Oryctolagus cuniculus: one gene and its partner. Each later gene encodes a partner of the first gene's protein in a complex. Links are inferred from orthologs where the notes say so. Each region holds a gene or a part of one and is shown in the gene's direction. Other genes may lie near its edges.

Evidence for each region. The genes of interacting proteins can lie anywhere in the genome.
Region 2: HEATR3 (region 1) and RPF2 share a complex: the UniProt entries of both Homo sapiens proteins name them as parts of the hexameric 5S RNP precursor complex. The link is inferred for Oryctolagus cuniculus from reciprocal best matches to the Homo sapiens genes HEATR3 and RPF2.

The regions. Positions count from the first base shown.
Region 1 is NC_091449.1:33,667,392-33,670,902, forward strand, and holds part of HEATR3 (HEAT repeat-containing protein 3), read left to right. Parts: intron 1-754; coding exon 755-867; intron 868-2,651; coding exon 2,652-2,761; intron 2,762-3,511. UniProt on the Homo sapiens protein: Plays a role in ribosome biogenesis and in nuclear import of the 60S ribosomal protein L5/large ribosomal subunit protein uL18 (RPL5). Required for proper erythrocyte maturation.
Region 2 is NC_091436.1:60,639,726-60,643,852, reverse strand, and holds the start of RPF2 (ribosome production factor 2 homolog), read left to right. Parts: upstream 1-1,320; 5' UTR 1,321-1,433; coding exon 1,434-1,456; intron 1,457-2,086; coding exon 2,087-2,219; intron 2,220-4,127. UniProt on the Homo sapiens protein: Involved in ribosomal large subunit assembly. May regulate the localization of the 5S RNP/5S ribonucleoprotein particle to the nucleolus.

The DNA.
Region 1 (3,511 bases):
GCCCAGACGTTAGCCAATGTTTGGAGACATTTTTGGTTGTTACAGGAGGTAAGAACTGTGGCTTGCATGCCGTGGGTTCAGGCCAGGGACACTGCTGACTATCCTGCTATGCACAGGACACCCCCACAACCAAGAATTGTGCAGGCCCCAGTGTCGGTAGTCCCTAGAGTGAGAAGCCGCGCTGCGGAGGGTCCCGGGGACTGTCCTAGAAGGGCAGTACTGCAGCGCTGCTGGGAGCACTGACTCGGAGCCAGGATGCCTGCCCTTGAAGCCCAGCTGTGTGCATTCTCGCTGCACCCTTCAGCAACCAGGGTGCCCCCTGTGCCTGCCTTCCCTCAGGGATGAGAGTTTATCTCAGGTTTGCTGTGGGGATTACTGACTTACTATGTGTAACACACTTACAATTGTGCCTGACAAGGCACTGTGTAAATTTTAGCTCTTACACTTTATCTTTCTTTGCCTTCTTTGTCTTTTATCTCATTAGGTCAAATGTTTTGTCCAAAATGTTTTGTATTGATTTTGTACTTTCATGTAAAATGTGAATTGCTTTATCTCGAATTTTCACGGTGACTCGGGGAAACCTTCTCTGTATTTCTTGCCAGAAGGCAAGCAGGGTTGTGGGAATTGTTCAGCTTCTGAAAACTTGATGGGCTTGTTAACCACTATAATTGCTGATGTTTAGTTTTTTTGACTCTTCAGTATCATTAGCCTTTTTGTTTAATTATTCTTTGCTAATCATGATGTTTGGTTACAGTGTAGTGCTGGACTGGATTCAAATGAAATGTCGCCACAGGAGAAAAAAGATCAGAACAGAAATTCTGTTGAGAACATAGCCAATGAGGCGGTGAACGTGCTGTGGAATATATGGTAAGATGCTTGCCAAGCACAGCTCCTGCTACAGCGCTGCCCAGGCTGCTGCTTTCTGTTCAGCTGTGTAGCGGTCTCTGTTCTCCTGGGGAGGCCTGTCTCAGTGAGGGTGGTAGTTGGTAGGAGGTAGTATCAGGTGACCTGGGGTGAACCATCTTTGAGGCCCCTTCCTCATAGTTTCGTTCCTTTTTAAAGACAGTTCTTTCCAGTTATTGCCACTGATAAAAATATGATGGATCATACCATTAACACCTCCTGTTCCTGCTTTGTCCCCCACACCGTCCACATACCTAGGCAGCAGTTGTCTTAAACCTTGTTAAACCCCGGTGCAGTAGCAGCGTTGGTTTGGCACTGGAATGAGACAAGGACCACAGGTCTTGGCTGGTACTGATTCCCCTTCCCTGGCTGTTATCATTGGGGTGGGCAGTGGGTGCCCAAGGTGAGGTCCATTGACCCTAGTAGGAAGGAGGCCACTCTCCTTTCCTGATTGTAGCAGTGGTGAGGGGGGAGTGGCTAGAAACATGACCTGGCTTTACTTTTTTCCGTCTCATTTTATGTCCCACAGTCGTAGCACGATTCCAGCATGAGTCCTCATTTTCAGTCAGTGGTTATAGTGGCTGATGGCAGAGCGCAGGTGTCCCTAGAATACAGAATTGTGTTGGATCCTGTAAAGCTGCCTCCCGGCCAGTCTGCACGTGCCTGTGCTTGCATCGTGGGCTGGTGGACGCCTTCCACCAGCTGTGCCGGAGAGACCCTCTGTGGAGAAGTGGGATCTGAGCAGACTGCTGGGTGCTGTGCACCACATACCTTAATTGGGTCCATTGGCAAATTTTGGAAATTAAAAAAAAATTATTTGGAAACAGTCCTAACCTAATATATTTCCAAGATTTCTCTTTCCTGAATGCCTATGAGTCTTACATTTTTGTTTCATACTTGATAATTCAAACTACCTTCACATATGTATGTCTGGGCTGTTTCAGTGCCGCATTAACAGATTGCAGAAAGTGTTTTTCTTCAGGTAACAAACTGAATAATTGGGTCAGATCTGTTAGCTGTTAGTGCCCATGTGTGTATGCAGTATGGATGGAGAGACACCTTTCTCTAGAAACATGATGCAGTTACCATAGTTACGGTGTGTGCTAGTTAATAACTGACAGCTTGCTTAGTCTTATTAAAAGAAAGTGTGATTTCAAAAAGAATTATTGTAGTGATCTCTCTGCAAACTGTAAATCCTCCTTGATGAGATGACAGTTGCAGTCAGGGAGGAATGAATAACATGTTTTATTTCCTCTTGCACTTTGTGTGGTAAGTCTAGAGACTGTTTGTCCTAACTTTACCGTGCTGTTTCGGCACAGTGAAGAGAGCAGGAGGCTGGACCCAGGGAGCCCAGGTGCACTGGGCCTGCCTCTGCCTCTAACAGATAGTCTGATCTCCTCGTGGGCCACCTCACCCTTGGGGCCTGGGTGTTCTCATCTGTAAAATGGGGAGTTGAATTAACTGATTTCTAAGAGTTCTTCCCACTCTACCCCCTTCTACGGGGAAACGCATACGGTATAGATTGCCTTAAAGGCCCCCCATGATAGGAATAAGTTAAAGAAAGCCGGTTATCACATGTGCAGTGGCTGTGAATGGGCGTTCGTTTCTTCATCTATAGGCATGGTGGGTGTTTGACTCCAGCTCTTTGGTTCTGTAAAGCCTAATTTGTTTTTGTCATGGATTCCTGTGATTGATTTCCTAATGTTAAAATGTGACTAGTAAAACTCTTTTTCCCCCCTTCAATTTAGTGAATGCAGTAGTAGAGCAGTATCTATATTCAACAAAGAAGGGTGTTTGGAGATTGTATTAAAGTATTTAAGTAGATTTCCCACCAATGTTGACCTGGCTATCTCAGTAGGTAAGTGAAGAAAAAGTGATGATTTATTAAGTATGTGTAGTCTTATTCAAAAATTGTTATTCAGATCTAGTATGTTAATTCTACAGAAATGGTTTTTTTTTCTCATTGTATATATGAATTTAGCCAAGGAGTTCTGTTTGTTCTGAATCCTTTTCGGTCTGACTGGTACTTTTCCTCACTCAGAATTTTCCTGCTTTTTGCTCTGAATGGCAGAAAGGTAGCAATGTGAGGATATGTGGTTTCCAATCTATTACCATTCTTAGAATCTTGTGTTAATTTTTGATGTTTTCATTTTCATTTAAATATTAACACACAGCTACCAGGCCTTTGAGCCAGTTAATTGGAAGCTAATTGTACTTAAACGACTTGTACTGTTTTCTTACACTTCCATCAGAAAACTGATACCTTCAGTTTTTTGGAAGAAGAGAAGTGATTGAAATTTCACTTAGGCCTGTGTCCTCCCCATGGGAGGCATGGGAAGCAGGGACCTGCAGCTGAGCTGCCCTGGCTCCCTGGTCGTTTCTGGACGAGGGCAGGAAGCCTCTGAGACCCTTCGCTCGCCAGGCAGGAGGCAACGGTCTAGAGGGCGGGCAGCTTGGCAGAATTCTGGGCGAGAGCAGAGGAATCCGATGAAAAACATTTCTAGCCCTCGTGACGGCAGCCATCCGGCTGTCCTTTCACTTAACTGTGCGTCTCCCCGGCAAGGCAGGGACGCCTTCCTCCTACTAATGCTTCTCTTGGCTCCAGTGG
Region 2 (4,127 bases), on another chromosome or scaffold:
CTCTGACTTATTAATCTCATGGTTTAGTAAATAGCACCCATTTTACAGTCATACTTTTAATGACTACGAGTACCCACCATGCTATCATCCTTTCCAGCACCCATTTCTTTCTTTCTTTTAGAAGTTTATTTTTGTATAGAAATCCCTCTATTGGCTTCTTTTTTTTTTTTTTTTAAGATTTATTTATTTATTTTAAAGTCAGAGTTACACAGAGAGGAAAGGCAGACAGAGCAAGGTCTTCCATCCAATGATTCACTCCCCAATTGACCGCAACCGCTGCAACGACTGGAGCTGCACCAAACAGAAGCCAGGAGCCAAGAGCTTCTTCCGGGTCACCCACGTGGGTGCAGCTACCCAAGGACTTGGGCCATCTTCTACTGCTTTCCCAGGCCTTAGCGGAGCGCTGGATCAGAAGAGGAGCAGCCGGGTCTTGAACCGGAGCCCATACGGGATGCCGGCGCTTTAGGCCAGGGCGTTAACCCACTGCGCCGCGGCGCTGGTCTCTCTTTCCTTTTAATATTTATTTATTTGAAAGGAAGAGTTTGGAAGCCGGGAGTCAGGAGTTTCTTCCAGGGCTCTCAGTGGGGGTGCTGGGGCCCAGGCACTTGGGCCATTTTCCGCTGCTTTTCCTGGCGCATTAGCAGGGAGCCAGACAGGAAGTGGAGCAGCAGGGACTGGAACCAGAGTCCGTTTGGGATGCCGGCGCTGCAGGCGGCGGCTTTACCCGCTATGTCACAGCACCGACCCCATCAGCACCCATTTCTTTTTTTTATTATTATTATTTTTATTTTTTTTACTTTTTGACAGGCAGAGTGGACAGTGAGAGACAGAGAAAGGTCTTCCTTTGCCATTGGTTCACCCTCCAATGGCCGCCGCGGCCGGCGCACCGCGCTGATCCGATGGCAGGAGCCAGGTGCTTCTCCTGGTCTCCCATGGGGTGCAGGGCCCAAGCACTTGGGCCATCCTCCACTGCACTCCCGGGCCACAGCAGAGAGCTGGCCTGGAAGAGGGGCAACCGGGACAGAATCCGGCGCCCCAACCGGGACTAGAACCCGGTGTGCCGGCGCCGCTAGGCGGAGGATTAGCCTAATGAGCCGCGGCGCCAGCACCCATTTCTATTCCAGAAGAATAATCCCTGGCTTCTGAATACCCGACTTGAGGTAATACATACAGTCCTGGACGTCAGTGGCGAGAGGCTGCGTTACTAAAAGCGTTGCTTAGCACCCGTAATTTCCGGGGACGAGCCAAGGCGAAAACCCGTAACCAAGGCAACAGACCGTGAGCCTATCAAAAATGGGCGCCAGCTCCGCGGCGGGGGTCGTCCCAGGAAGTGGCGTCACGCGCAGTTTCCGGTTCCGCCTGGAGCGACGCTCGCGGCTGTCTCCGGTTACCGCGAGGTGCACGTGTGTTTTCTTGGCTTGGCCGCGGTAGCAATGGACCCTTTGGATCGGATAGTGTACGTGCGCTGAGTCCTCGTCCCGGGGAAGTCGAGGACAGGGGCTCTGGTGACGGGCGTGGTACCCTTCTGCTTCCTTCTCTTCCTGGCTGTCGCTCCTGCCCGACGCCGCTTCCCAGTCGTTCCTGGTGGCGGCAGATCACCCTCTCCCGTGCCACCTGTCGGAGACGTAGCAGGGAAGCCCACCAGGGGACCCGCGGGATGGGCGCTGGGACTCAGGCGTTGGCCGCTTTTGTGCTAGCATTTAAAAATCCGCTGGCTTCCCGAGCGGTTAAAAGCACAGACCTCGGAGCCTGACAGATCTGGGCGACGCTGCGGGTGTATCCAGAGTTTGAGCACTTGGGTGTTAACGTAAATCTTGTAAAGTTCAGTTTATTCTGTAAAAAGAGCTTTCATGACAGTCCATCGTAGAGCTGTGAGGGTGGGTTGTGGAACACATATTTAGCAGTATTAAATACGTGTATTTATTACTAGCTCCCTAAAAAGTGAGTTTTGTTTAGTGCTGGAAACCTAACCCGACAATATATTAGGATAATGTCTGTTGAGTTTTAAGAATTTGCACATTAGTCAAGCCATGCTTTTGCAGTGTGAAGAAAATGTTTAAACTGTTGTGCATTATTTTCTGAACAGAAAGCCCAAAACAAAACGGGCCAAGAGATTCCTTGAGAAGAGAGAACCGAAGCTGAATGAAAATATTAAAAATGCCATGCTGATTAAAGGGGGCAACGCAAATGCAACAGTAACACAAGTGCTTAGAGATGTGGTATGTATGTGTACTTATTGTTTACTTATATTCTTTTTTAATTTTTGTGTTTATTTGAGAGGCAGAGTGAGAGAGAGAGGTGGAGCTAGCGCCCTGTCTTACTTCTTAAATGCCTGTGTGATCAGGCTGAAGCCAGGGGCTGGAAACTCAGTCCTGGTGTCCCATGTAGGTGGCAGGAACCCTGTGCCTGAACCATCGCCGTGTCTTCCCGGGTCTGCAGTAGCTGAGAGCTGGGGTCAGGAGCTGGGGCTTGGTGTTGACCCAGGTACTCTGGTGTGGGAAACGGATATCTCAGCCGTATCTTCACTGTTAGACTGAACGTGCACCCTATGCTTACATTTAAGTGGTATTGAATTGTCTTAGAAACTTTCAGGAAATTAGATTGCTGCTGGAGGAGAATGTTGGTACATGTTTCCTTCCTGAACCTACTGGCCTTAGAGAAGAGCTGAAGTTGGAGATTATTTGCCCTCCCCAAGGCCCTGACTACTGGTTTGCCTTAAAGCAGCTGGTTCCCTTAGTAAACTTAAACTGGTTTTCAGTTCTGGAATTTGGTTTACCCACATTTTAGGAAGATATCTATTTTATATAAAGTGAAATAATCGCATGTTATTGTATAATTTATATGTTCTACAATACCAGTTACTGTACTAGGTGCTGGGAATTATAAATTAGGTAAGACACAGTCTGGGACCAATGCTCTGGTATAAAAGCCGCTGCCTGCAGTGCTGGCATCCCATATGGGCGCTGGTTCAAGTCCCAGCTGCTCCAGTTCTGATCCAGCTCTCTGCTATGGCCTGGGAAAGCAGTAGAATACCCCACCCCCCATGGGAGACCCAGAAGAAGCTCCTGACTTCAGATCAGTGCAACTCTGGCCATTGCAGCCAATTGAAGTGTGAACCAGTGGATGGTAGACCCCTCCCTCCCTCCCTCCCTCCTTCTCTCTCTCTCTCTCTCTCTCTCTCTCTCTCTCCTCCTTCTCTCTCTGTGTAACTCTGACTTTCAAATAAATGAATAAATTAAAAAAAAAAAAGACACAGTCCCTCTCTTTAGTGAGCTTAGTTAGACAGGGGCAGGATTGTGGTGTTGTGGAATTGTCATGGTTGGTGGGCAGTAACTGAGCCAAGGAACTGTAGAATCTGCTGCTTACCAAAAGGGGGAGGCAGAGAAAGAGAGAGAGAGAATGGAGAGACAGAGATCTTCCATCTGCTGGTTCATTCCCCAAATGGCTGCAACGGCCAGGACTGGGCCAGGCCAAAGCTAGGAGCCAGGAGCTCCATCTGTGTCTTCCTTATGGGTGACAGGGACTCAAGTACTTGGGCCATCTTCCACTGCTTCATCAGGCGTATTAGCAGGGAGCTGGATCAGAAGCGAAGCAGCCAGTATTCGGACTGATGCTCTAATATGGGATACCATAGTCATAGGCAGTGGCTTAACTTGCTGCGCCACAGTGCTGGCCCCAATAAGGCAGTTTTTAATGTGGAAAAAAAAAATTGGACATGTTGTAAATTAAGTGCTGTGCTGGAGGCATGCATATGGTAGAATCGGACAGTTAAAGGCGCACTGCAGGGGTCCCACACACAAGGCGGGCCTCCCAGCCATCACACTTAACCTTCATTTGGAAGGAGTTGGAGCAAGAAGTGGAAGTGGATGAGAGGGGCTTTTAAACTGAGGAAGGAGCTTGTGCCAGGGCAGGTGTGAGGGGCGTAAGCATGTGGAGGACAGCTCTCCGGACTGGCCGAAGGGAAGCTGGCCTGTTGAAGCTAAAGGAGGAGGCAGCAGTCCCACAGTAACAGAAAAACTGTGGAGTGACCGAAAGATTGGAGTTGAGCCATCTGAGCAGTTCTTTTAATTGCCTTGATTAGAGACGACTGAGAGCAAAGTAAGAAATGGAAGCTGTTGCAGTCAGCC